Linked DNA regions of Saccharomyces cerevisiae S288C. The gene in region 3 interacts genetically with the main gene of each other region. Each region holds a gene or a part of one and is shown on either strand. Other genes may lie near its edges.

The links.
Region 1: mutations in YBR137W (region 3) and GRH1 together harm fitness more than expected from each alone (negative genetic interaction), as found in Saccharomyces cerevisiae (one large-scale study listed by BioGRID).
Region 2: mutations in YBR137W (region 3) and ERP4 together harm fitness more than expected from each alone (negative genetic interaction), as found in Saccharomyces cerevisiae (one large-scale study listed by BioGRID).
Region 4: mutations in YBR137W (region 3) and FHL1 together harm fitness more than expected from each alone (negative genetic interaction), as found in Saccharomyces cerevisiae (one large-scale study listed by BioGRID).

What each region holds. Positions count from the first base shown.
Region 1 is NC_001136.10:1,473,774-1,481,336, reverse strand, and holds GRH1 (Grh1p), read right to left. Parts: upstream 4,099-7,563; coding exon 2,980-4,098; downstream 1-2,979. Other genes in the region: URC2 (Urc2p), read left to right, coding at 1-252; peptidylprolyl isomerase family protein FPR2, read right to left, coding at 505-912; protein disulfide isomerase EUG1, read right to left, coding at 1,176-2,729; EMI2 (putative glucokinase), read left to right, coding at 4,861-6,363; SLF1 (Slf1p), read right to left, coding at 6,565-7,563. UniProt on the Saccharomyces cerevisiae protein: Involved in the spindle assembly checkpoint. Involved in ER to Golgi vesicle-mediated transport by either facilitating USO1-dependent and -independent tethering or increasing target accuracy of fusion events of COPII-coated vesicles.
Region 2 is NC_001147.6:358,376-365,288, forward strand, and holds ERP4 (Erp4p), read right to left. Parts: upstream 2,710-6,913; coding exon 2,086-2,709; downstream 1-2,085. Other genes in the region: protein phosphatase 2A regulatory subunit RTS1, read left to right, coding at 1-1,572; YOR015W (uncharacterized protein), read left to right, coding at 1,618-1,977; PET127 (Pet127p), read left to right, coding at 3,037-5,439; ROD1 (Rod1p), read left to right, coding at 5,994-6,913. UniProt on the Saccharomyces cerevisiae protein: Involved in vesicular protein trafficking.
Region 3 is NC_001134.8:511,433-518,062, reverse strand, and holds YBR137W (uncharacterized protein), read right to left. Parts: upstream 5,020-6,630; coding exon 4,480-5,019; downstream 1-4,479. Other genes in the region: GTPase-activating protein IRA1, read left to right, coding at 1-713; ATG42 (carboxypeptidase C), read right to left, coding at 873-2,399; YBR138C (uncharacterized protein), read left to right, coding at 2,727-4,301; protein kinase MEC1, read right to left, coding at 5,289-6,630.
Region 4 is NC_001148.4:731,725-740,969, reverse strand, and holds FHL1 (Fhl1p), read left to right. Parts: upstream 1-4,536; coding exon 4,537-7,347; downstream 7,348-9,245. Other genes in the region: putative protein kinase ISR1, read right to left, coding at 1-909; Golgi transport complex subunit COG4, read left to right, coding at 1,401-3,986; PRE2 (proteasome core particle subunit beta 5), read right to left, coding at 7,758-8,621; 60S ribosomal protein uL5 RPL11A, read left to right, coding at 9,222-9,245. UniProt on the Saccharomyces cerevisiae protein: Acts as a transcriptional regulator that recruits coactivator IFH1 to the promoters of ribosomal protein genes. Recruited to ribosomal gene promoters by RAP1.

The DNA.
Region 1 (7,563 bases), on a different chromosome or scaffold from region 3:
AGTGATAATGATAAAATGTCGACTAATGCTAATAACTACACAGGAGCAGGAAATCTGCACGCCGCGAAACCCGCTACTTCGCCTACTAATGTTGGTACTTTGCACGAGAACTTGTCCAGTAGTCACTTCATGATTCCTGACGTCGACCAATTCAATTCCTTTGAAGACTTTTTTCAGGATTTTTTTGATAGTTTAAAACCAAATTCCCAAAAAATGTTTACCAGCGATAAGAAGACTGAACAAACTACTTAAACTATTTTTATTAAGAGGGAAAAAATTCATACCCAAACTAGATTGAATAACATTTCTTTATATTAATATATTGTAGTTAGAGCCCTTTTATTTTATTTTGCTGCAAACATAATATACACAACCATAATTACATTGAAACTTGACATGATGGCTGGCATCCTCATATGGATATATTTTCAACTATAAAAAAAAGTTTGCCACATACGTACTCCATGCATCTTGTTGCAGATATGTGCCTGAGTGCCAATTTACCTAGGCGGCTGATTTCACGTCTACCAATTCGACATCAAACACCAAATCAGCACTTGGAGGAATGACGCCTGGGACACCTCTTTCTCCGTAGGCCAAAGAACTTGGAATTTGCAGCTTTCTTTTTTCGCCAACGCACATGCCGGCAACACCTTGATCCCAACCTTTAATTACTCTGCCAACGCCAAGTTCAAAAGCGATAGGAGAGCCTCTTGAATAACTTGAGTCAAATACAGTTCCCGATTCTAATAAAGATCCTGTATAATGAACCTTAACTTTATCACCTGGCATTGCCTTAATTAAGCAATCTTCTACCGGTATTCTCTTGATAATACCGATTTCCAAATCTGACAGGGAACCTGCAAGAATGGTGGAAAAAAAAGTGACGAAAAGGTAAATATTAAACATCATCGAGACTCAATTACTGTAAACTAGAATGTGATTGAAAACGAAAGCACTCCTTTTTCTCTTCTTAGGGTTATAGTAATGGGTCTCATATAAACCTGTATTTGAAGATGCGCTGGCAGTAATGCTAAATCTCTTCAAGAGCATAAACGGGTAACTGGTGAGAATAATCGTGATGCCATAAATAACGAATATTAGCTATTTTCTTCCAGAAACGATGCGAGTAATCAGATGTTAAAAATGTGCATTATATATGCTTTATTTATTGATTATAATTCATCATGTACGGTATCTTCAGTAGACACTTCAGAATCCTTGGCCTGGTGCAATTTATCATAAATTGCCTGGCCGTCAATGTGATGTGTACCTGATTCCTTGATAAATTCGAAAACATCTTCCAAATTTCTAATTTTATTGAAGATAATAGGCTTAGAGTTATTTCCGGCAGGATACAAAGCAATGGTTGGATATCCTGTCACAGGAAAACTTAAGATATCATTTGCCCCTGAATCTACTTCGGCGATCAAGATTTTATCGCGAACAGATTCATCAGATGCTAAGACATTTGCAATTTCTTCGTAAATAGGCGCAAACCTTTTACTATGAATACACCATGTCGCGTAATATTTGACAAGGACATCCTTGTCATCATCATGAACAATGTCGTCATGTGTCTTCCCAACTATTTTATAAACATTGGACTTTTGTTCTTTTGGAATCTCTTCTGACTTAACAATTGGCTTGGCAGTACCTTCACGGTAATCTTTTACCAACTGAACGATCATATCTCTGTCTAGTGGTTGTGGTTTTTCTAATTTCGCGTACTCTTCTTCTGGTAGTTGTGGTAAACCATATTTCAGATTATTGATCATATTATGGATAGCAAATAATGGGAACTGTTCTCTCATATTTAGGAATCTAACGTGGTGTGGGAACATTGTAGAGTTTAATGCAATGAAATTTATTTGGCCACGATTTTCCTTACCTAACTGCGTGAAAAGATCAGTGTAATCTTCCAATTCTTCCTCAGAAGTATAAAAGAAGTAAGCCAACGGCAAATTGCTAGAAATGTACTTGGGGAAGAGATCAGGTTCGATGTCGGTAAAGTAAGGTAAAATTACCACTTTTAACCACTGAGTTAGAGCAACGGAATTTCCGACCAAAGAGTCTACATTTCCATCAAACAGAATTGGTTCTGTAGTGTTTGGCAAGTGGATTGATAATGACTTATCTTCTGAATCTAGAAGGGATAAAAAGACGTAATCCTCAGCAAGGTCCAGTGCGACTTCTTGATACGTTTCATTCAAGCCTGTCAAGCCTCTGTTTATTACTACTGGTAAAGTTGCATTTTCCAAGTATGGTTGGATTTCATCTTCGGAATTTAAATAAATGACAGAAGCCTCGTATAGCTGAATCATGTACTGAGTGATTTCATCGGTGATCTTGACACCGCGATAGACTTGACCATCAAAAATACGACCATTTTTAAAGATTTTCAAGGTTGGGTAGGTATTTATAGTTTGTTGCAGGCAAACCATACTGTTAGCCTCACAATCAATTTGAACAACTGGGACGTTATGCTCCTTTAAAATAGAGGCGGCCTCTTCTAAGTGAGGGCGTAAGATCTGAGAATGCAAACACCATGGAGCAAAAAACTCGACGAGGACTAACGGATGAGATTCGATGAATGATTTAAATTTCTTCTCTGTTAGAACGAGTAAATCTGATCCCGGCGTAGCTCTTGCGCTGTTTTCAGCCAACGTGAAAGAAGCAAACAGGCAAAACGAGACTATCGCAGATATAAATCTTGTGGTCACTTGCATGGTATTATATGAGCGGGTGCTTGTTGGGAGATTGCCATATAATTGAAACGTCAAGTCTTGGAAATTGAAACTTTCTGAATGCTAAAATATCTATTGTCTTAACAAAAAAGGACACGCGTGCCTTTGAAAAAAAGTCTCGGTACTTTTCGTACATTGCCAACTATCGTTTACGTGTTTTGAAGGGAAAGCAAGCTTATATATATATATTTAATTTTGCTATGAAACAAAACCAAAAGACTAACCAGGAAAGTTAATCAGAGGATGACTGTTTTTGTGGTGGTGGGGCGAGGATGTCAGATTCTGCTGACTTCGCAGCGGTAGATGACTTATCTCTGCCTTCATTAAAATAGTCATCCATTGCCAATGGCTGGGTACCCTTTTTATTTTTTGATTTCTTCTTTGTTGGCACCGGTGGTGCTGTGAATGCTGATGGCACAAAAGCCGTCTCAGATTCTACTGGAACAGGAACAGGAACAGGGTTGTCATCTTGCCCCTGCTGCTGTGCTTGTTGTGGACAGTGCTTTACTGTTGGAATCCTGTGAAGAAACCCGTATCCAACGTTGCAACCCAACCTGCCGTCGGGACCTATATGAACTGTGATTGGTCTCACACAGTCAGAAACTTTGTTGTAGACATAAAGGACCAGATCGTAGTTTGCTCTTGATCTAACAATATCTTGTAAAAGCGTCTCCCCTCCCGTGGCCAACAGGCCATCTTGGCAGCCGATAATGTAGTCTTCATCTGGGATGAGCCCTGCCGATTGGGCGGGTCCATCTGGGATGTTCACGTTCAGGATATGGTATGTGAAAGTGGAAGCTATCAAAGGCGTCCATTGGACTTTGAACCCGAGTGCTTGGAACTGGTGCGCTTCCCCACTAGATGGCCTCCTCTCGTCATGGTTTAGAGAAACATCGTCCAAATCGTCGCTCTCCTTCGATATAATGCTGATATACTCGTCTCTGAACGTGCCTCCTTTAGCTGACCATATGTTGACCTTCAAAGTTCGGCCACAGTGTTCATTGAAGATGGATGTGATACGACGGTAATCTGGGTACGAAAATCCGTGTTGATTACTGACCACCGGCACCGGATCATCATTGAAACCTACTATATAGTCGAAAAAGGACTGCAGTTGGAACTGCATCTCGTCCACCCAAACAATGCGGAGACCGGAAAGCGTTTCATTGACGTTGGTGTGCTTAACACCTTCAGAAACCGCATCTACGGGTGATTCCAACTGAGCAGACAACAAATTTGGTGGTATAGACTGAAAGAAAGCGTCCAGATTGCTCGAGTCCTGCGAGAGTGCCAGGGTATCTTGCACGCTCTGCTCAAAAGTCCGTACGAGGTTTTTAGCTATTCTAAACATAGTTCTTCTTCCTATACCTTTTTACTTCCCTAGTTTCGCACGCTGTGTCGGTCGCAGTTACAGTAGTAGTCTCAGCACCCCTGTTCTTGGTCCTGATCCCGTTGCGACAAGCCCATTTCTTTTATGATAGCCAAAATGCAACTAAACCTCGTCGTCGTCGGCTTGCGTGTCCGCCGCGAAGACAGAAAAATAACGAAACGAACTTAATAGAAACGACCTAGATTTTATTTGGAAGCCAGCCCGATGCTATCTTCAAAATGGCTGTCACTGGGTGCAAAGGCGGTGGGAGAGCCCATTAAGTAATTTAATCGGGTTGTCTCACCAATGTTAGCCACAACGCAACGCTACGTCGCCACTCTGGCAGCCACCGCAACGAGCAGTAGCAACTACTTTCGGGTGGGCCCTTCAGGGGTAGTTGCCTGCGTCTTTGTTCGAAGAATCAAGTGACAAAAAACGCGGGGCATCCAGAAAGTCTTTTTGTGTGTGTCGTCGAAAGGGAAAGTGAGAGAGTGAGAGTGAATTAGTGTTTGTGTGTGTGGAAGACAGAGGAAGAAGATCGGGTCGTCGAATTCTATTATGCTTGCGATGCAGGGGGGGGAAACATGTATTCGGGATTATATAAAGTCGATTCTGTGTAAGTGTAAAATCTCATCTTGTCTCGTGTTCTTTTGTACGTCTCATACTTATAGGAAGTTTAAATAGAAACAGATATCAGTGTATCAAGGAAGAATTGTACAAGAATCGAATCATAGATACACAGTAATGTCATTTGAAAATTTACATAAAGTCAATGCTGAGGCATTGGAAGATGCAGTGGTTGAGATCTGCTCCTCATTGCAGGTTGATGCAGCAAAGTTGGACGAACTAACAGCGTACTTCATTGAATGTATGGAAAAGGGGTTGAATAACACCTCTGTAGGCGAAGAAAAGACGGTGGACAAGGGTCTACCCATGATCCCTACATATGTAACCAGTTTGCCCAATGGGACGGAACGTGGTGTTTTGCTGGCTGCAGATTTAGGTGGGACTCACTTCAGAGTGTGTTCTGTGACTTTGAATGGTGACGGAACCTTTGATATGCAGCAATTGAAGTCTAAGATTCCGGAAGAATATCTAAATGACAAGGATGTCACCAGCGAGGAGCTGTTTAGCTACCTGGGTCGCCGTACAAGGGCCTTCGTTAGGAAGCATCATCCTGAGTTGTTGAAGTCCACGGGGGAGAACATAAAACCTTTGAAAATGGGATTTACCTTCTCATATCCCGTTGACCAAACCTCTTTGAGTTCCGGTACTTTAATCAGATGGACCAAAAGCTTCAAGATTGAAGACACGGTCGGCAAGGATGTCGTGAGGTTATACCAGGAGCAATTAGACATTCAGGGGCTCTCTATGATTAATGTGGTAGCTTTGACCAACGACACGGTTGGCACTTTCCTATCCCACTGCTACACTTCAGGCTCTCGTCCATCGAGTGCTGGTGAGATTAGCGAGCCTGTCATTGGTTGTATCTTTGGTACTGGTACTAACGGTTGCTATATGGAGGATATTGAAAACATCAAGAAGCTACCAGATGAGCTCAGAACAAGACTGCTGCATGAAGGAAAAACCCAAATGTGCATCAACATCGAATGGGGTTCTTTCGACAATGAATTGAAACATTTGTCTGCTACAAAGTATGACATCGATATTGACCAAAAATTTTCTCCAAATCCAGGTTACCATCTATTTGAAAAAAGAATTTCCGGCATGTACTTGGGTGAGCTGTTAAGGAACATCCTGGTGGACTTGCATGCAAGGGGCTTAATCTTGGGACAGTATCGTAATTACGATCAATTACCTCACCGTTTAAAGACTCCTTTCCAATTGTGCAGTGAAGTTCTTTCCAGGATTGAAATCGATGATTCGACAAACTTGCGTGAAACTGAATTGTCGTTTTTGCAGAGTTTGAGGCTACCGACCACTTTTGAAGAACGTAAAGCAATTCAAAATCTGGTCCGTTCCATTACGAGAAGGTCTGCATATCTAGCAGCCGTTCCGATTGCCGCCATCCTAATCAAGACAAACGCTTTGAACAAAAGATATCACGGTGAGGTAGAAATTGGTTTTGACGGTTATGTCATCGAATACTATCCTGGATTCAGATCCATGCTGAGACATGCTTTGGCATTAAGTCCAATTGGCACTGAGGGTGAACGTAAGATACATTTGCGTCTAGCCAAAGATGGGTCCGGTGTTGGCGCAGCTTTGTGTGCTCTGGTGGCATAAAACATATCTGTTCTTAACAGCTTATTTTTAGTTTGTTTTCGTTTTCCTCTATATAAATATCTTATGTATCTGTTATATAAAAAATTATTTAGTACGAATTGAAATGAAATGTTATGTTATATTTTTAGAGAGAATCTGCTATTACTTTATACATGTTAACTATATACATAATAAAAAAAAAAAAAAAAATATTGTCTAAAATTAATCATTTATTTGTAAGTTTTGTTCAAACTGCCTGCTAATTTCACCTTGGTCATAGCTCTGACTCTTTTTCCCATTTTCATTACTGGGAAAGAAGTTTGGATAGCCCATATAAGAATAATTGTCTAAATCGTTCGGTCCCAATAGTTTCTCAATGTTGTATTTTTCAGTTTCGTCATCATTTTCATCAAAATTACTTTCCATAGCGTATTCAGCCCAATTTTCGCGCCTAATAAAATAGTTTTCCAATGGATTGAAATCATCTGCCATGTTCTTCTGAGCACCTTCTATGCTTCCAAGGGCAATTTCCAAATGGTTTGTTTCTTTATGTTGTAAAACTTCTCTCATAGATGCCAAAATTAAATTTGGGTCTCCACCAAGAGATAAATTAACCATACGGTAAAATTTCCCTATCAAACTCATGGGGATAAATCCGTCATTGGCTTTTTTGAATTTAGATCTTAAAAATTCATCTGTTTTCAAGTTCTCTTCACTAAAATAGAATTCAATTTGGTTTTTGATACTTTCGATAGATTTAAAAATAGGTTCCATTGAGTAATAATATGGTGTTTGCAATTGTTGTTGATAGTTGATGTTATTATAATACTGCTGTTGACGGAAGTATGACAGTTGTTTATAGCTATTTCTTGAATTGTTGTTCAACCAGTGGCTGGCATTGGGAATATATTCAGGTCTAGCCTGATAATTATTTGGGAAGGAGATGGCATTATTAGCCGCCTGACTGTGTCTACTATTGTTGTTGTATCTTGTTTTGCCATTCCTGTTTTGATAATTTCTTGATTGTCTACCGTTGGTTGAATTGTTGTTGTTTGTTATCCTCTTTATATTCCCATTGGCAGTTGCTCCTGAGCTTGAATGTATGTTTACTTTAGCGTTAGCATCTAAAGGTTTGGATTCAAGATTGGAAACGTTACTTATTTCCGATGTACTGTTGGTTTGACCGTTAAAGTCCTTTTTATTGATATCGTTATTATATTT
Region 2 (6,913 bases), on a different chromosome or scaffold from region 3:
CACTCATTTGAGAGACTACCAACACCCACAAAACTTAACCCTGACACAGATTTAGAGTTAATTAAGACTCCCCAACGTCATTCTTCATCTAGATTCGAGCCATCTAGATATACGCCATTAACGAAATTGCCAAATTTTAATGAAGTTTCTCCTGAAGAAAGAATCCCTTTGTTCATTGCCAAAGTTGACCAGTGTAACACTATGTTTGACTTTAATGATCCAAGTTTTGACATTCAAGGTAAAGAGATTAAAAGAAGCACCTTAGATGAGCTAATAGAATTCCTTGTAACAAATAGGTTCACTTACACGAATGAGATGTACGCTCATGTGGTGAACATGTTCAAAATCAATCTGTTTAGACCTATTCCACCACCAGTAAATCCAGTTGGTGACATTTATGACCCAGATGAAGATGAACCTGTTAACGAACTAGCCTGGCCTCATATGCAAGCTGTTTACGAATTCTTTTTAAGGTTTGTGGAAAGTCCTGATTTCAATCATCAGATTGCTAAACAATATATTGATCAGGACTTTATTTTAAAGTTACTGGAATTATTTGATAGCGAAGATATCAGAGAAAGAGACTGTTTGAAAACGACACTGCATAGAATATATGGGAAGTTCTTATCATTAAGAAGCTTTATTCGTCGGTCGATGAATAATATTTTTTTGCAATTTATTTATGAGACTGAGAAGTTTAACGGTGTGGCAGAATTGTTAGAAATTTTGGGTTCCATAATTAATGGATTTGCACTTCCATTAAAGGAAGAGCACAAGGTTTTCTTGGTGAGGATATTGATACCATTACACAAGGTCCGTTGTTTATCATTATACCACCCTCAGTTGGCTTACTGTATCGTTCAATTTCTCGAAAAAGATCCTTTATTAACCGAAGAGGTAGTTATGGGCTTACTGCGTTATTGGCCAAAAATAAATTCCACAAAAGAGATAATGTTTCTAAATGAAATCGAGGATATTTTTGAAGTGATCGAACCGCTGGAATTTATTAAAGTAGAAGTTCCGTTATTTGTTCAATTAGCTAAGTGTATTTCTTCTCCACATTTCCAAGTGGCGGAAAAGGTTTTAAGTTATTGGAATAATGAATATTTCTTAAACTTATGTATCGAAAATGCCGAAGTCATCCTACCCATTATATTTCCTGCATTATATGAATTAACTTCTCAGTTAGAGCTAGATACAGCAAATGGCGAAGATAGCATTTCAGACCCTTACATGCTTGTTGAGCAAGCAATCAATTCTGGTTCGTGGAATAGGGCAATTCATGCTATGGCATTCAAGGCATTGAAAATTTTTCTGGAAACAAACCCAGTATTGTACGAAAACTGTAATGCATTGTACTTATCAAGTGTAAAAGAAACTCAACAGCGTAAGGTGCAACGTGAAGAAAATTGGAGCAAACTTGAAGAATATGTAAAAAATCTAAGGATTAACAATGATAAGGACCAATACACAATCAAAAACCCAGAATTAAGAAACAGTTTCAACACAGCAAGTGAGAATAACACATTAAATGAAGAGAACGAAAATGATTGTGACAGCGAGATACAGTGAAACAGCAATTCATTACAAGCTCGAAGAAGTGAGGAAGTTTAGGGCATGCCACATTTCAAAAGAGCAGCAGTATATGAAGAGCAAAAAAGAACTGGTAAATGGGGTCAACTTGTTGAAGAAACCAAAGATAGAATCCCCGAATATTCGAACAAAACTATAGCAAAGATAAGCCACTTGGACAATGGTTGTTTGTGGCCTGAGATAAAGGTCTCTTTTTCTCATCATTTGAGCATACTTCAATCGATGTGTCTTCATTTTATTATTTCTATACTTTTCTCCAAATATATCTTCGTTTTTCTTTTCGCTTTCCTTCTTCCTTCTGCCTTTCCTCTATTTATTTTGCACTCCACTCTTTTCCGTAAACCTTGCCTATCTATTATTGGATTTTTGAAAACTAAAGTATAAAGGTATGTCATAAATAATTAAATAACAAAAAAAATAGGATCATGATACAAAAAAGTGCCTTCCCCTTAGCACAGCTGATCCAACAATTTTAAGAGCTTGAAAAGCAACCTATACGTAGTTTTTTTGGCGACTGGTAAAAAAGAACTGAATAATTAATGCCTGCACTATACTGATACCAACCATTACCCCCATAATTAGTAATGAGAGCCATGTTAATCTTGACTCAGTAGAACTCACAGTATACATGTTTCTCCATTCTCTAGCCCTTAAATAATCCATTGTTTTGGTGATCTTATTCAGGTTCCTATCAATTTCCTCGATGGCGTTGTTTGCGATTATGTCCTCTTTGCTTTCATGGGAAGAAACAATTTCCTTTTCCTTTTCGAGGGTGATTTCAACTTTCTTTGGGGAAGTGCCGTAGTTATTACTCAAACAGAAAGTGTACTTACCTATACCAAACGACTTCAGTAGAAAATCAGAATGCTTCTTTTGTCTTTCAGTGACGATAACAGAGCCATCAGGGGCGGTAATATCGAAGTCTATCTCGAAATTCCCACCTGTCAAAACTTGGTAACTGACCACAAGGACATCTTTATCAGAGGATAAATCATAGTAAAGACATTCTTTGGTAAAAGCAGGTAATGATATGCCTACAGGAGCATAATTAGAGGAGAATGCATGTGTTAACAAAGATGAACTAAACAAAATCGCAATCAAAGTAAAAACGCGCATAATTCCTAGCGATGATTGGGAATATATATTTATGAAAAAACTTCACTAGCGCTCGTGAAACTACTTCAAAGGCAGCTGGGAAATAAATGTCTTCAAAGCAGAGAAGAGTTCCCAAATAGAATTCTCAGATCGTCAATCGCTCATCTTTGAGTATATCACGTCAAAAAACAGGAAACAGTGAAAAAAAAGTAGTCCATAATAAAGCGCGTTTCCGTCAATGCCGTTGGTTAATAAAGAAACAAATATGTAAAAATATAATATAAACAGGGCACTTGAGAGAGCACAAAAAAGAGCCAAACGCTACCTGATACTTTTATAGTTTTGATAATGGGGTTCTACAACTGTAGATTCCTGTCCAGACGTCTATCTGTTGAGCCTTGCAGAATAGGTAGCGCCGCTAAAAGCTATCAACAGCGATCGATTTATCACTTTGGCGCTGCTCTCACAAATGCCCCTAGTGGAAGAGAAACACCAGACAAGCTACGTTCTGACCTGCATAGTGCTTTAGAGATGGTCGATGAAATATATGACACAAATTCGACTGTAGAGGACATTGGAAACAAGGAAAAGGGAGGTCGACAAAAATATACGGAAGAAATGGACAAGGCGATTAATCTACTGAAAACAAATATAAAGAAGGAGTATAGACATGATAAGTATTTGGAGCGGACAAAGGTAGGAACGTATCCTGGTAGAAGAACATATCCTGGTAGGAGAACATATCCCGCTAGGAGAACATATCCCGCTAGCAGAACATATTCAGATAGCAATTCATACACTTTTCGGATAAATGTCCAGAAGATTAGGCACGCATTAGTACGTTACAATCAAGATGGTGTTCAAAAACACAACCAAAAGCCTCCTAGGATTGGTCATGGATTAACGAGAGTGTTATACCAACCGTTGTCGCTACAAAAATTGAGAGATAATAGGAGCAGAATGTATAATTTTGACCCTGCAGTGGAAAATATTAATCCAGAGTATTTGGAAAAGAAAAGTGAAAAAGATGTGAACACAGACTCCTCTGGAGAAGGACAAAGCAAGCCAATATTCATCACACCCCACAAAGATGAATCTCTGTTAAAGGTTGCCAAAGAACATAGAAAAAAGTACATATCTTCATCAAGTTCCATGACATCAGTACTTTCTCAGTTGCACTATTTATTATCCAATTTCAGAAGATTGAATATCATTGATTCCTCGATATCGAAAAATTTTCCTCAAAAAAACTGCAATTATTCAGAAAGTGCATATTTTCCGTCAGCAGTCATTCTGAGAAAGAAGAGAAATGGCATTTGTTCTATTGATTCAGATAGAAGTCTGGATAGGGAGATTGTGCTTTCTGTACTAGGTCATTATCTTGAAGACTTTTTAACGGAAAAGTCCCTGAAGAATAGTTCAAAAAGTGAAAATTATCACTATTCTAGTATAGATGAATTCATTGTGAGATCTCAATTGGACGCGTACGACCCAAATCTACCTGGAACGGGTGTATTTGATCTGAAGACAAGAGCAGTTTCTGCCATAAGATACGATTTATCACATGTAGAGAGTAATAACAACCAAACTGGATATGAGATAGATAAAGTTTATGGGGAATTTGAGTCTTTGGAAAGAGAATATTTTGAACTAATCAGGTCTGCCCTTCTAAAGTATTCTTTGCAAGCTAGAATTGGCAAAATGGACGGTATTTTCGTTGCATACCACAATATTTCTAAGATGTTTGGATTCCAATATCTACCTTTGGACGAATTAGATTATATAATCCATTCTTCGTATAACAGCAAATTCGACAGTTTGTTAAAGGAGAAGAATGATATCACAAAAGGGATATATGGTGAGGAGGACTACATTCTACACTATGACAGGGACGATAGGAAAATTGCTTGCTTGGTGGCTAATAGGGAATTTAAGATGTCTATGAATCTGTTCAGTAATATTTTGAAACACGTTGAGCAGTTACTTAACTCAAGTAATACGAAATGGGAAAAATGCAAAATAATGCTTAAAACCGAAGTTGAAGAAAAACGATCCAAAAGTGGCCGCTTCTTTAACGAACCGGTGCTAAATATTGTAGCCCTGCCGTTGTCACCTGAGTACGAGGATAAATCTTTATTGGTAAAGGATACTTCGAACGAACAATTAACAGAGGAGCTACTAAACCTCCGCTCATATAACGAAAATCTTTTGGAGGAACACCTGAATTCCTTAGTTGGATTTAAAGTAAATGTCAAGCATTTCTATCACCATCATCCTAATACTACACATCTACCTGATTTTGCTTTAAAAAAGAACGATATTCTCGACACCGAATCCCGTAAATATATTTCTGACATGATGAAACGAGACTGGTACAAAGATATACCATCTACACAGACTCCAAACTTTTTCCACGCTTCCGATGTTTCCACTTGGGAGGTGAACTCTACTTTTACAGATATCAATGACAAACAAATTTTACGAAAACTATACTTTAAATATTTGGATGTTAAATTAAACGCATTGAAAAATCAAGTAATCACACGTCAGGAACCTGATATGTCTAAAAAGGATGAAATTATGAATCGAATCAAATCACTACAAGCCCGCAATGATCACCGCGATAATGGAAGTAACAAAAGATATTCTAATTTTGGCCCTACCCGACTGCAAACTAAACTGCGCGCATATGCTAAAAAAGGTGCCCTTCGAAGAAAACTATTAGAAAGGAGTAACAAGTTCCATATCTAGAAGACAGTAGTCAGCGTTGGGCAATCTAATGTTATAGGTGAAGTTTTACTACTTTAATGTATTCACTCACAACTTTCGACCTTATGTAATTATTCTATGTATTTTTAGATATGTCCATACAATGCATTATTCTTGTAATTATAACACATATTAATTAAACAATGGGTCAAAAAGAGTCGAGTCCCTTGGTACATATTATGTTACATTACTGATTAAGTTGAATAAAAGCATCTAACTTTAAGGAATCTGCTTTATTTTGAAGACCGAAAACTACGAGTAAAAATAGGAGTTTTAATGCGGATGAATGTCTAACCCCAGAGATGGGTTCTCCGATAAAAACTGAGAAGCTTCCTGTTCACAGTTTTTATAAATTATTTTGTATGGCTGGGCTCTTGCAATTTTCAGCGTTTTTTTATTAAGCGAAAAAAACAGAACAGGGGTCCCCTATTCAAATATAGACGTCAAAAAGATGCAGATCTAAAACTAATTAACAACCATACAGAAATCAACGCGATTTCATCACACCATTCGCTTCTCTTCCTCCATAAGTAATAATGTTTTCATCATCATCTCGACCTTCAAAAGAGCCATTACTATTTGACATCAGACTTAGAAATTTGGACAATGATGTTTTACTGATAAAAGGCCCCCCTGATGAGGCATCTTCTGTCCTACTATCTGGAACTATAGTATTGTCAATTACTGAGCCAATTCAAATCAAGTCTTTGGCTTTGAGACTTTTTGGTAGGTTGAGACTAAATATTCCAACGGTTTTACAAACTGTTCATGGGCCGCATAAGCGATACTCAAAGTTTGAGAGAAACATATATTCTCATTTTTGGGATGATTTTAATATAAAAAGTTATTTCCAAAACTTGTACGATAATCATAATAATGGTAAAATAACAATTTCTAGTAAATCCTCAACAAATTTAGCAGCATTGCCAAAGAGAAAAAGAGCCCTTTCTACTGCATCATTGATATCAAGTAATGGGCAGACAAGCGCAAGCAAAAACTATCACACCTTAGTAAAAGGTAACTACGAATTCCCTTTCAGCGCGATTATTCCTGGGTCATTAGTGGAAAGTGTAGAAGGCCTACCAAATGCTGCCGTCACTTATGCTCTGGAAGCTACTATCGAGAGACCTAAGCAGCCCGACTTGATCTGTAAAAAACATCTAAGAGTTATTCGAACGTTAGCTATAGATGCAGTCGAGTTATCTGAAACAGTATCAGTGGATAACTCATGGCCTGAAAAAGTCGATTATACGATCTCCATTCCAACTAAGGCAATTGCCATTGGCTCTTCCACCATGATCAATATTTTAATTGTTCCTATATTAAAAGGATTGAAGTTAGGCCCTGTTAGGATCAGTTTGGTGGAAAATTCCCAGTATTGTGGTAGCTATGGAGGGGTTATCAACCAAGAAAGAATGGTGGCTAAATTAAAACTAAAAGATCCCCTGAAGCACGT
Region 3 (6,630 bases):
TTTTAGGTTTCATTGCAAACGGTTTATCCATTCCTGTCGTAAAAGGAGCCGCATTAGATTGTCTACAGGCCCTTTTCAAGAATACATATTACGAAAGAAAGTCCAACCCAAAATCCTCCGATTATCTTTGTTACCTTTTCTTACTCCATTTGGTCTTAAGTCCTGAACAACTTTCTACCTTGTTACTTGAAGTCGGCTTCGAAGATGAACTGGTACCTTTAAATAATACACTAAAAGTGCCACTTACTTTGATCAACTGGCTAAGTTCAGACTCAGATAAATCTAATATAGTCTTATACCAAGGAGCACTTTTGTTTAGCTGTGTTATGTCAGACGAACCATGTAAATTCCGTTTTGCTCTATTGATGAGGTATTTGCTCAAAGTCAACCCTATTTGTGTATTCAGGTTCTATACGCTGACTAGAAAGGAATTCAGGAGGTTATCAACCCTAGAACAATCATCTGAAGCGGTTGCTGTCTCTTTTGAATTGATTGGGATGCTTGTTACACACAGTGAGTTTAATTACCTAGAGGAATTTAATGATGAAATGGTCGAACTTTTAAAAAAGAGAGGCTTGTCAGTTGTGAAGCCTCTGGATATTTTTGATCAGGAACATATAGAAAAGTTAAAAGGAGAGGGTGAACATCAAGTGGCAATTTATGAGAGAAAAAGATTAGCAACAATGATACTGGCAAGAATGTCGTGCTCCTAATTTTAAATTAGAGTATTGCAGTGATTATATACGTTTTTCCTTATAATTATATTTTGTTTTATATTTGTTGGATTGTAGATTTTAAATTAAATGAAACGTAGAGATTTGTGTAAAGTATAATGATTGCAAGGTTAAGAGTGAAACATTTTTAGAGCACTACTAACTAGCATTTTCCAAGGTGGAAAGATCCGAAAAAGCACGATTACCGGAAATCCAACTGTTGACCATTTCCAAACTTGCCTCCGGTTGATCATAGGGCACCATATGACCGGCATCGTATATTCTCAAAAAGGTGAAAGGGCCATAGTTCTTGACTTGTCCCAACTCTTCACCTGTTTCTTTACTGACCCATGGTCTTAACATCCTTCTCTGATACCTACGTTTATTGATCCATTCCAACTCATTGGACCAAGCATGGTTTCCCAGCCAATTACAAATATAATCCTTATCACCCGCATATATTAATACCGGAATGTTGTGATTTAATAATTCAGCAATATATTGTTGAAATGGTTTACTTCCATCGCCCGTAAACAAAAATCCGGTGAACACGTCATTATCACAGCCAGAATAATTATGCACGTCGGACCCTAGCGTTTCTTGAACTTCAGGAAAATTCATATACTGGTCGACATAGCGGAGACCTGTATAACACATACCATCAGTACTATTATCTTCACAGGGCCCTCTAATGTCATAGACGTTGAGTCCTGTGTTAATGTACGGTTCCAAAAGTGCAGAGTCACAGTAAGCAGTGGCGACTATGCATGGTAAACTTGATTTAGAAGCATAACATAACTTGTTCAACCTACGACAACGACCTGCAGCTTTACTCATTTTCTCACATTCTTCTGATGAGAGAACAGGGTGATAGCCCCCTTTCCCGCATGCCATTGGTTCATAATAATCTGCTTGAATCAAAGGGTCTGTGATACCATTACCAATCATAACTGAAGTTAAATTGAACGTTCTTTCAGGGTTCTTGACAACGATCTCATGTGCAATTTGAGGGATATAATGTCCTGCATAGGATTCGCCTGCAATGTGGAAATCGTTGGAGCGTAAATGAGGAAAAGCTTCAAAAAACAATTCCAGGAAAATGTACGCATCTTTGCCTGCTAATTTTGTAGAGGAGACTTTTTCATCACCATAGGAAAAGCCGACTCCGAGTGGCTGTTCTAAGAAGATCATTGAAGCGTTATTATTCCAAGAATAGGGATTGTGGATTGGTTTCATATCGGCGCCAATTGATGAGGGGCCTAGTTCAAATAGCAACCCAGTAAACGAGGAACAACCAGGTCCACCATTTAACCAAAGAATAATTGGGTCGTTAGCAGGATCGTTCCTACTTTCAAAAAACCAGTAAAAAAAGTGTTTGGAATCCTTATAGTCCATGTAACCCGACCATTGTTTTACGGTGTCAATTCCTAGTTTAGAAGGATCTACTGTTCTAAGTCTCAAACTGTAATCTGTGTCCACAGAAGAAATAAAAGTTGTAAACAGCGGATCATCGTGATTCAAACGGTCCAATTTAAGGGTTTGCTGTGTATTCTGTGGAAGCTTTAGCTGTTTATCCAAATTGGCAAAGGTGGTATCATCTTCAAAAAGAGAAAAGGCTCGGCCGAATGAGGCGTATTTGATGCTAATAAGAAGCTGAAGCACGAAAACTAAGTTTAGATACTTCATTGTATGTCGGTATCACTTTTTGTATAGCTGTTTTAAAGAAAAAATGCAGGATGACAATTTTCGTTCTTATATAACCCCTGTCCCCTGACATTTTTCGATAACGAAGCGTTATCTCACCTTTCGTAGAATGCTAGCGCCGCCTCGGCCATTTTTAGGAAATTTCCTAAATCGCTCACATTGTAAACAAGAACATCTTAGAGAACTCTAAGCACTTTTAGAAAAAAGGATTATACTAAACGAGTCAAAAACTATTTATCCAACAAGTCACAGATTGGAATAGTCTCGAAAACTTGATCCAACCACTAATTAAAAGGTTAAAATTAAAGGATGGAGAAAGATCAAATCCAGCCTAGGGTGTTGGAGTCAGTAGACACAAACTCATTATCCTTGCTTTCGTCCAATACCAGCTCAAATATGAATAGCAACACCAACAATAAACTCAGTATAATTGCCAGTGATATTTCTACAGGATCCGTACTTTCCAGGCCCTTGACTCCTCCAGTCGTCCAGGATATAGAGAATAACTCCATGTTACAATGGCAATTTGAAAAGAAGGAATTTATCTTCGATAGTAACAGCACTCCTTCGAAGCAGGCAAAACCATTGCAGAGAAATTCTCCATACCAAGGCAATAGTCAAAGTGAAAATCAGAACCAACAGTTATTGAATGTAAGAAAGCGTCGCTCACAATTGATAGGTGCCAAGCCTAAAATTCCATCCAAATTGTACCAATCTGTTTCCAAATTAGATCTAATTGATGACAAGAGCTTTACGTCTTTGCCAATTGCGCCTCCATGCAATATCGAAACTAATGAAGATGACAGTGGAAACAACGAATACAACAACAATAAAAAACGGCCCAGGTTGAATCCTGTAAATGAACTGCGAGTGCATAACAACAAACGTAATAGGTACGTCAGTTATGGGCCGAGTTTAGATACAAAAAACTACGAGCTAACAGAAAATACTTCTCAGGATATACCACCGCTAGTCCTGGTTGAAGACTACATACCGTATACCCAAAGTAAATCAACAAAAAAAATGGTATCTATTTCAGATTTGAAATCAAAACTAAGTAAAAGAAGAGATAATCATATCCCGCTGAGAGTAAAAAATTCATATTCTGAAATTAATAAGGAAACCAATAGAAATAGCTTTGAACCGAATTCACTAACACTGATACCCCATATATTAAGGAATACTGAAGAAAATAGGGACGAAAGTAACAACCCCTTAGATTTTATCAAAGAGGAAATTGAAATAAGTGATATTTCCATACCAAATTCCATTGAAAATATGGTGGTTAACTTGGTTAATATTCCATCTTCCAATAAAAGTTACGATGATCTTTATCTATCGGAATTAAATGTTCATTCCCAACTGAGGAAATGTGTCATCTGCGAAAAGGCCCTATATGAAATTAGCTCGAGACTTTTAAATTCAGGATACTATAAAGAAATTGTATGTGAGCAATGCACAGTTAGATATGAAGAAGCCGCTAAAATCTTTGAGAACTGCGAGTTCGAATCATCTATGGATGAATCAAATCTAAGCAGCGGTACTTTTAGTGATCTAGAGAATTCAGCAGAACCGTTTCATTTATCGACAGATGTTCCAAAAAAAATAAATAGGCACATAGAAGATAACAAGATCGACCTTAAAAAGGAAATATCAAAAAAAAAGGACAGCTTCTCTAAGGAACTAATAGAACGATTGCAGTTGCAATTGCTAGAAAATGATAAGTCAATCAAACATCATTTTAATAAAGATGCAATGGGCTCTAAATCAATGAATTGGTTTTTGGAAGCAAGAAGAAAATTGAAGTGGAAGTGGAGAATAAATGGTTTACTTCCGCATTTCTTACGCAATCAAAATAGTGATCGTTTAAATTTTCAACCTTGAAAATACATTGCTAAGAGATCACTAAAACAAACAGGACTGCATTGGTGCTGTGTATTTTTTCAAGGGCAAAACAATCAATATATATATGAAAAGCTTACGACTAAATAACAGTTATACTAGTAACGGGTAAAAAATATTCTATGGTGTTCAAGCCTCTATTTTACTTCTACCTACATTCTCAATCCAAATTCAAATCTTCTTCTAGACTTTCATTAGCAAATGCAATTAAAGAGCTGACTGCCATTAAATGGTCTTCTTCCTGCTTCAATCCACTTATAGTTAAGCAGGCATAGGGGTAGTCACTTCTCTCCGATTGTATTAGGACAGCACCTCCATGGAAAGCGTATTCTTTTGAGTCCACAAAAAACTTTTCCTCCGGTGTTTTGTCACCTTTCTTGCAGCCCATATAGAAACTTGAATGACCAAATCGAAGCGCTGTCTTCTTCTTTCTCTGGATCCAAAAATCATTGTCCAATGCACTGCCACCGTAGGTCACTGTGCGAAACAAGCAATGCCCATTTGGTAAGGAGATATCAATTGCAACTGGTTTTTCGGGGAAATTTTCTTTAACTGCATTTCTTATGTAAGTCCCCAAATCAAAGGCATCTTGATATGTAAAAGTAGACAAAAAGCATCGTTTTTCCATATCTTCGAGCTCTTCTAAGGGAACCTTACGAGAAGTCAATCTTTCCAATAACTTCTTGTCTAAAACCACCATAATAATTTTCTCCGTAGACTTTTTTTGAATAATTTGCTCTTATAATAAGGCTTGATTAGGTTGTTTCTCTTTTGAAATGCGAGATAGTCCTTAATATTATTACGTACGTATATGTTATGTTAACTTATATGGTGTCAACATCCCTGTTAAGAGAGATAGTATGACATGAAGCGGGGATAAGTATCTATTAACTCCGCCGGAGAAAAGCACCTGCAGTGATGGTTAGATCAAGAGGAAGTTCGTCTGTTGCCGAAAATGGTGGAAAGTCGTTACCAAAATGGAAGCCAACCAATATACATCTTGCTTAGATTGTCTTCTGATGTTGCTTCTTGGATCAATGTTTCTGTTTGGCCAGCAACACTCAATACCAGGCCATCCTGCGGATCTATACCGCGGATTTTGTTTCTTAAGACCTTTAGCGCTTTTTGAATTGAGTGGTCCATGTTTCTATCGTACATAATTGTTTCGATCACATTCATCAACGCTACTTCATTTTTTCTCATTAAAGCCAACGTGACTTCACTAGACTTCTTAAATGTTCCTTCTGTCCCAATTATGCCCAACGCATCCAATAAATTTGGTGTTAGTCTGAAGGGAACAATTTCTGGGACAGGTAACCTTTTGCCTTTCTCAAATAAACAGTCGAAGTCTACATGAAGAACTTTACCCGTCTGTATATCTAGTAATATGTTTTCACAGTGCCTATCACCTAGACCTAATATATGGCCAACCATTGCCATGACGGCGTAAGATCTGGCATACGTATTCCTGGCGTTGAACCAATTGATTGGATCAGGAAAGTTTTCTAAAAACCATTGGTACAAGATTGGAGGAAATTTATCTACCTGTTCCATGTAAAACTCGAGTTTTCCATCTACTGCGGTGTGCTGCCACCTATCATGTAGACTTTTCAGGCTATACTTAATTTTCAGACTTTCGTACTTTGTAGAAAGAATAGATCTTAAAGTTACAACATTCGGTACCATTTCCAATATCCCACAGTCTTCTCGAAGAGATAGTACGGAGTAAATATTTATGCCCAGGCTTCTTTTTCTTGAAGCTATGTCCTTACTCAGAAGAAAATCCATTGTTGTGGCGAACTGCATATATTGGTTATCTTGTCGGACATCTTCCTTCTTACACATGATCCCATAAATGTTGCCATCTGAACCTATTATGTTCAATTGTTTTGGCTTCTTTAATGAAGAAAACACTTTATAAGATGATCCGAATCTAATTATAGAAACAACCGGCCTAAATGGTTGATAGCCCCTCATTGAGTTAGACTCTAGTGGTGAAATGATGTCTAAATTTTTTCTTACTGGAACAACCATTGCAGATGGGGCCACGTTCATGTCAAATTTGAAGTCTTTTTCTAAAGATTTGCCTGATCTACTTGTAATGCTTTTGACATCTTGCAAACAGACACGAGTTAATGCTTTCGTTAAATCCAATGCACTAGAAACTAGATCATGAGGATTTTGCGAATGTTGTCTATACTTTTCTAAAATATGCTTACCACGAAGAACTCTTTTTGAAGAATTGGAATTTACAAGGGCTGTGATATACCATAAAATATGAGAGGGGTATTCAACAGCCAAACTTAGCAGT
Region 4 (9,245 bases), on a different chromosome or scaffold from region 3:
GTCAAAATCCTTACAATGGCCTCCATTAAGAACATGCATTTCTGTTATTAAAATATTTGCTGTTTTTATATCACCATGAATTATACCATTTGTTTTCAAAGATTTTAATGCGTCTATCATTTGCTTCATAAGTCTCCACCATATTTTTCTTTTTGTTATCAACGAAAGCTTATGTGACACTGCTGTATTGAAGTGATATAAACTCATTTCGCATTTCGGAAGAATAAGGCCAGGAACACATTCGTTGGACCTCAGTCTTCTAAAATGGGATTTAGTTATGTATGTCAACCCATAGAATGGAATAATATGACTTTCATTGGTTGAAGGACTCATGTACTGGAGATATGCTAGCGTCAAAGCTTCCTGTAAAATCACCTTGCTTTTATGCTGTGATTTGGCAAACTTTAAAACAACCCCTGAATCGTTGTTACATCTTGATGAAGCACTTGATGATATAGGGTACACATATGAATAACTTCCCTGTCCCACTAATTTGTTAGACGGAAGAGAATAACTTGGATTTGACAAAAAATCCATCTCTGGAGCAAGTAATATGCCCATCAAAAACTCATCCAGAAATTCTAGGGAAGAAACTGTATTAGAAAGACGGAACATTAAAGCCAAATTCTCCGGAGAGTAAAACCGGGGGGTAGTGAACAATACGTCTAAATCGTTCTTTAGGTGCGCCTCCGAGGTAGCAACGGGCGCCTTACTAGAATAATCTGTCTGGAATGCCTCACTGAATTTAGCTGTCGGCTCCTCTACAGGAGATACCAGATGTGAATATGCGAAGTTACTTTTATGTTTTTGCGGTTGGCGATAAGCAAAACCCTTACTATTGTTACTTATGGATGGAAAGGAACCATCAGAAACCCTGGTGACGGGTGACGTAGGAGGTGTACTGTTCATAGCGTGACGTTTGAGAACTAGTCTTTGAGATGTGTTTTAAGACGATTTTTGCTGTTGATGAGGTTAGATCCCCGTTATATAAAGGCAAGAATCTATTAGCAGCGCTTTTTGTTTATTCAATGCTAGTCAAAATAAACAATAAGATAGACCCATACATCACAATCTAGCTGGTTTGCGATCATGTTGATTGACACATTATATCCTTGCTAGGGAACATAAATTTTCGTCATAGGCTATACAAGCAGCTGAGATATAGTGAAGGAGGTAAGCAACTTTTGAAACACATTTACGATCTTCTAACCTTATTAACTTGTTGCTTTAGCTTTTAGAACTCCATTTACGTCACTTTTTTGAATTTTCGCCTGTAAAGGAATTGTGAAAAAAGTGTGGGATAGAGATAGAACATAGAAAACAAACCAAATTCGTTGGGACAGCGAAGTAGCGCAAACTAACGATACTGTATTGTCAGGCTCTAAAAGGGTGAAGTTTTGATGGAAGGGCAAAAATCGAATGCATCATGGGAGAGCTCGATCATCGAGGGCCAATTGTCTAAAAATCTAGCAAGGTACACCTTGTTATTAGACAAATTATCGACACTATCTCAAATAGACAAGCTGTCTGAAGTGATAGCCAATGATTACGCAAAACAATCTAAACAATTAAATGCATTTGTGCAACAGTCGCAATCATCGCTCAACAAAGAGTCCCGGAAATTAGAATTGCAAAGAACTAACCTTACGACTACTTTGACTCAGTTTCATGAGACTGTGGCCACCATTTCTTCTTCGAACGCAAGAGCAAAAGCTATACATGACGATATTGAAACTGTAGATCAGGAACGCGCTTTGGTCAACAAAACGTTACAATTTGTAAAAGACGTCAGGACGCTAAAGAATAATATTTCACTGGCGCATTCTGCTTTAGAAACAAAGGATTACTTAGTTGCTGCGACAGCAATCAATGAAATTAGAAGCCTTCCGGATAAAAAACTTATTGTATCCGAGTTTGCCAAGAAAGTTGTGCCCTCGAGTGAAATTCCCGAAGAACCAGCTATACTAATAAAGAATTGGTGTAAGGAACTGACAAGTTTATTTCAGGAGCAATTCATGGAAGCAACAAGAACACAGGATATTAAAGAGCTAACCTTAATGTTCAAAATGTTCCCTATGATTGGGCAGGACGTACTTGGTTTAGACCTGTATTCCAAATATGTCTGTGATATTATTGCGGACGAAAGCAGGAAAATTATGTCGAATTCTATGGAAAACAGCACCAAGTTTCAAGGATTTTTTTCACAAGTACTGTTACATCTTTTTAAAATTGTATCGACCATTATAAATGATCATTCAAAAGTCATCGCCACGTGTTATGGAAAAAAGCACATGGTGCATGTCATGGAAAAAGTAGAAAAAGAAGCTGATCTTCAAGCTAGTTTGATTCTAGATATTTTTATGGAGACGAGGAAAATAGAAAGGACTATACATGATATAAATGAATGGGAACATTCACAAAAGAATGAAGATGTGAATATAGACAGTAATCAGTCGGATATCGAAACAGACGGAGAAACGGAAAAGAGCTCAATTATATCCATTCATGACTTGGCATTATTGATAATGGAATTTTCTCAAATACTTCAAAATTGGTCCATGTATTCTAGATTTTATTCAGTTAAATGGAATGAATTTAGCGATTTGCATCCGCATGTATTGCAACCACCTCCACCAATAGCAGATGGTAAATTTGCCTTAAAGTTAAAGCAAGATAAGGTCTTTGATGAGTTTCAGGTGTTTGTGTTGAACCATCTGCAGAGATCATTTAGAAATAGTATTTCACTAGAAGAATTACCGTCACTGAACGATCTTATAACTGCTGTTCCCCTCAATGACCACGATAACATTTCATACCCTGTAACATCTGTTTTAGATGACTTAATTTTATTAGTTCGGAAAAATCTGATATCAGTGGTTAATACTGGCCAGTTTAAGCTCTTAGCAAGTTTTTTGAACGAGTTGGTAAAATTTTTTCAGAACCGATTTCTGGTAAAATTTATGCAAAACAAATTTAAGTTACTACAATCGAAACTAGCCTCCAATGTATCTTTGAAAAGATACATTCCAAAAGGTGAGGAGCAATCTGCAACATCAAGATCGGTTTCTCCACCTGCAAATAAGTTTTCTCCGCTAAGCAGGTTCACTTTTAGAGGGGCAGCAGCTAGCGCTTTGACAAATATTCAATCAAATTTACAAGCCGTAGTTGCAGAGGACGAGGATTCCATTCTTGCGTTGCACCATTATTTGATATATCTGAACACGTTGTACTTGAGTAAAGTATACGTTCACAGGCTGTTATCCATAGAAATATTAGAAGACGATTCGCAAAGGATTTTGAGAGACAATTTCCCTTTTGACAATGATGCAGCGCAGTTACAGAATTTAATTATAAACTCAGAAAAATTAGTCCTGGAACAAACAGATAAGCTAAGCAAATGGGCTGTCAAATACTTGTTCCAAAATATCCTACAAAATAGGGTTCGGAACTTATTGGGAACTGTTTTTGTTAATTCAGCCTCATCAAATTCCTCAACGTCCAATCAAAAAAATGTGTCTCGCGATTATTCTGCAGGTTCGAACCAAAAGAATTACATCACAAGCATAGAAGATTTCGAAGATTTGTCGCAAATTAACAGTTTCAATAGCAAATGGAACCAATTGATTATCCCTTACAAAAATATTCTTCACAACGAAGCATATGCAGAGTTGCTATCTGTCATAGTCGACTACATCGTAACAACATTGGAGCAAAGAATATGGACTCTAGAATTCAATGAACTTGGTGTTACGAAATTAGATAGAGAACTGAGCCTTTTCATCGGCAATATGTGTGGCTTGAACTATAATCTCAGAGAGAAGTTCTTGAAATTGACACAAATCGTGTTGCTTCTCGGTTTAGATGATGACAATTTTGATTTGACTACAGGTGATATCAAGGATGACTTCAATGGTACTTTCGATTGGGTGATAAACTCTCAGGAAAGAATTAAAGCTAGAAATATGAAGATTGATAGAACACAGTAAATATAACATAAGCTTTACGAGCTGAATACTAAGTAGTTTCATATAAACGCAAACATAATCTTGGCTGTTGTACCTTTTCTGCATACTCTTGACTGTTAATACATTTCTTATTTTTCTTATGAAAGAGCACAACATGATAGCGCCATACTATCATTCTGAACGTTGCGATTAACTGGAAATTACGAAGACTAAGACAAGAAAAATTAAAAGCGTTAATAAAAAATAAACAAAGGAACCTTTGAAATATATTCCGTCACCAAGCTAAGAAAGGAGTAGCTCTTTCTCTAAGGCCAACTTTGTCATCCTTTGAGTTAGTTTAAAGTCTATTAATATTTGCTATTATCTTCTGGGCTGGATAAATAGGACTTTTCTATTGGCACATTTTTTTCTCTTGTAGAAGGTCATCACGAATATTAATTTTGTATTTGAAAGCATTTTATTTTCTCCTTTTTTTATTACCATAATATACCTGGTACTGGTTTTTACCTGATTTAACGTCTAGCCGCTCAAAACAAAAACCCACTCATATCTATACAAATATAAGAATAAGATGGATGGGGAAATGGCAATAATAGAAAGCAGCAATCATGTCGGGACTTCATCGCCTACCACTGAAACACAGTTTACTATAGATTCTTCCGCATTGAAAGACCAAGAAACCAAAGAAAGCATAACAAATTCACCGACAAGCGAGGTACCGATTGAAACAAAACTACCAAAAAGTTCTGATATAGTAACAGAGGAAAAACATCCTCAAAACACGACTACTGATATTGAAAACGAGGTAGAGAATCCTGTTACAGACGATAATGGAAATTTGAAACTTGAATTACCTGATAACCTTGATAACGCTGATTTTTCGAAGCTACTGGAATTTGATGCAAAAAATGATGAAGCTCTGTTCAACTCAAATGAGTTGTTATCCCACACCATGGATCCTGTAAATAACATCGATTTAACTCATGATCACAGCAGGGAGGTTTCATCAAAAGAAGATATCAATATAGAGCCAGTAAACCCTGATGAGGACGAAAGGGAGAAAACTCAAGATAACACAGCAGCAGTGAAAACTGAAGGCATAAGGAACTCAGAAGATACAAGTATACAAAAGGATGAACCCACTGCTGATGCTATATACACAGATGTGCATAAATTATCAGTAAACAAAGATACCGAGACCCTACCAACATTAGTAGATGAAAAAAACAACATGCTGCATATGAGAAACAATTCAATAACGCCAATAATGTTTCAGCAGCATGAATTAGTGGGACAACCGCCACAAAACACTGTAACGGAAAATAATAGTACAGATGCTGAAACTACCCAACGAAAACTATCTGAGCCAATCGATGCAAGTTTACCGCTACCGAATGAACAACCGACTATCTTCGCCTATGCAAGGCTGGACTTTCAAAGTTTCACATTTTATGTACAAACATTACATGCAATAATCGGAAGGAGGTCTGAGAATGACTTCTCCCACAAAGTTGACGTTAATCTTGGTCCTTCAAAATCAATATCGAGGAGACACGCCCAGATTTTTTACAATTTTGGGACAGGAAGGTTCGAATTGTCCATAATAGGGAAGAATGGTGCTTTTGTGGATGACATTTTCGTTGAAAAAGGAAATACTGTGCCACTTCGTAATAAGACAAAAATTCAAATTGGACAAATTCCATTTCAATTTATTTTACCAGAACAAGAACGTAACGACGATAGCAAAAGCCCAGAAAACGCTGACATAGCAGAATCTGAAATAAATACAAGAAATCTCAAAAAAAACGAGCCCAAATCTAAGAAAAAGATTACAACTGGAGCAAAGCCCAAGAAAGCGCAGACCAAACCAGCTGTTAAGAAAGAAAAGAAGCCACCGAAAATACCAAAGAAAGTATATACTTTGGAGGAGATTCCAGTAGAATATAGAACGAAACCTACTGTATCTTACTCTGCTATGCTAACTACTTGCATACGAAAGTACTCGACTGCCAAGGGAATGTCTTTATCTGAAATTTATGCAGGAATAAGAGAACTCTTCCCCTATTATAAATACTGTCCTGATGGGTGGCAAAGCTCGGTAAGACACAACTTATCGCTAAATAAATCTTTCAGGAAGGTTTCTAAAGAAGGCAAAGGATGGTTATGGGGTCTTGATGAAGAATATATTGCAGAGAGGGAACGACAGAAAAAGAAACAAAGTGAGATAGCTGTGGCAAAGGCACAAGCTGCACAATTAAAACTTGAACAGCAACAGCACAAACTTCAGCAAGTGCCGCAGAGGGGCAAAAAAGATATTGTTTCGCAGAGATCTAACGTTAATGCGAGAAAACAAAACATCTCACAAACTCTTGCAGCAAACAGAGCCGCCTCGAACAGGAAAAATACAGCAAGTGATAATCAAAGGACAATGAAATATCTGCAGGAACAGCTTGTCATTTTAACACGAGATAGAAAGGGTTTATCGAAGCAGGTCATCGCTGCAATTTTGACGCAGGCTCTAGCTATGACAATAAATCAGGTTACACAAGCGGCAAAAAACAAGGGGATTACTGGTAATCCACTTACAGCCTTGATGGACAAGAATCCTCAGCATTTGAATCTAATTTTAGCAGCTGCTGTAAACGCGGCAACTGCAAAAGTCACAAAAGGTGAGGTAAAGCAATTAGTGAACCCTGAAACTACAGCGGCGGCGGCTTTAGCAGCTAAGGCACAGCATTCCAAACCGATACGCCAACCAATAGTCCAGACGCCGCATGTACCAGATAGGCCTCCATCTCAGTTATCTGCGTCGGCATCATCCCATCCCAATAATTACTTGCATGATAAACAACCGGGATCGTTTGATCCTTCGTCCTTGTCTCGATTTTTTCAACCGAGACAAAATGCTAGGGCTACATCCTCTGTGGCAGCTACGTCAGTTCCGGCGGCTGCTTCTCAAAATGTTGATGCACAACCCAAACCTAAGCCTGCACAGGACAACGACTTAGAAAGTGAAAGCGGCACTAGTAGTAGTAGCAGTTCCAGTAGTGAGAGCGGAAGCGAGAGCGATAGTGGTAGCGATGACGGTAGTGCTAGTGGAAGCGGCGATAATAGCAGCACTAGTAGTGAAAGCGAAAGCGAAAGTGATAGTGGAAGCGAAGTAGATGAAAAGAACAACAAAAACGAAAAGATCGATAGTGAAAGTATTAAAAACAACGAATCTAAAGATGATATTCCATCTAAAGACGAGAATAGTAGCAATGATAATCGCGAGATTTCAAAAACCGACGAAGAAGGTCATGATTCTAAAAGGCGGAAGGTCAGCGAGGATATCAACGAGGGTATCACTGAAGTAAATGTATCCCTTGAGGAAAAACTTTAAAAAATTTCGATAATAGTATTAGCATATTCGAAGTAGAAGCATAAATCTTTTCATAAAGATAGATCGGATCAAGCCATAGTAATAGGTATGAATCTATGCGTCCTATTCTGTTTTGCGTTGTTGAGATTCAGTCTTCGATTTTTACAAAATTTTCCATCGGGTCGCCTCTACAACTACTTATTCACTTCGTTTGATTTCGGGTTTCACTTTTTGTTTGCATTGATGGCGTCTGTCCTCATATTACCGAACAATACTTAAAGATATAATTATATAAAAATATATAGATGTGATGATTGGAAACATGAGAACTGGACTTCCTTCATAATTCTATGGGAAGCCATATTGGATCCTTGAAGAGAATAATGTATCATTAATATAGATGTGCATATACATATGTTTGATGCTTCTATTTAGCCAATAACGTTGTTGAAAGATCCTTCCTCTTCCTTGACCTTCCAAAATAGTTCACCTACGTCATGATTACCGTGATATATCCAACCATCCTCGGTAACATGATATAAATTTACAGAACCACCAGAGTAAGCATCTCTATGGGCAGCAGCTAAAATAGATCTCTTACCTAGATATAAAGCATCTTCAACGGATAAATCCCATTTATAGTTAGAGTCTAGAACACCATATGCAAATGTTTGACCTGAACCAACGCAGAATATGTCACCTTTTAATCTTGTACCGTCTGAGTCGACGTAATAAATGGTTGGGCCCTCCTTCCTAGTGTAACCACAGATCATAGTACCCATTGATAAACCGGCCCCTTTATATTGGTATACTAAATTGCTTAAAATCTTGGATGCGGCTGCGACAGATATACGTTCCTTTTCCCTCAGCTCGTGCAGCCTACACTGAGAACCTAGCCAAGTTTCCCAAAATTGACAATCTGCCGCACCACCAGCCATTGTACCCAATAAAAATGGGTTGATCTCAATAACTTTCTTCACAGTTTGAGAAGCAACCCAATTGCCGGCAGTGGCACGAGAATCTACTGCCACAATAATACCGCCTTGAAATCTAAATGCTAAGGTTGTAGTACCATGTGCGATCTTGATTTTACAGTCTGGGTTTCGTGAATCATCTGTGTGTGCTCTTAAAAACTGCTGTGGAGACGCAATTGGTGGAACCGTAAGCGATGGTGCCAAACGTTGAAACTGGGAGGCGCCCGTTACGAAATCGCTCTCTAAGTTTTGTTCGTTGTCATATTGAAGTTCCTTAACCAATCTGTTTGGTACACTGAAACTATCGGCAATAGCTTGCATGTTTGTTTTTTTTTCCTTCTTTTCTTTCTGGTTTCTTTCTATCTATTCAATTTAATAGTAAATTTGTTATTCTCTTTTGAAAATTGATATATTGAAGCCTTTCTTTACAATTCACCTTGCATTATTGAAGGAGTGCTATTCTTCGTTTTGCCACCCTTTTGCTGTTTTCCCTCATATCACATAATACCCGGAGAGGCTCTTTCCTGCGACAGCGCAACATCCAACCATCCTAAAGGTATGGGTGTACTGACGATGCGATTATTTCATTAAGTTCTGTCTTTTTTGTATAAATGAAAAAAGAACGGTGAAATCCATAGAAATACAGAGAGCGACGCAAACAGCGCGCAGACTCTACGGGTAATAGACTCACATCCACGTGACCAGTTTCCAATCGAACTTTTTCACTTTGCAGGGAATTATTGTTTCACTAGCAAAGGTAGCCCACTTACCACTCAGCTATGCGAAAGTTTCATTGTTTGATACATCTTGATAGTAACCGCAGGCTTCTTTCTTAGTTCATATTTTATTGTATTTCAACTAATATTATTTTTTTTTCAGTGGAAGGGAAGGTGAACCAAGAACATACAAACATAGCCAAAGATGTCTGCCAAAGCTCAAAACCCT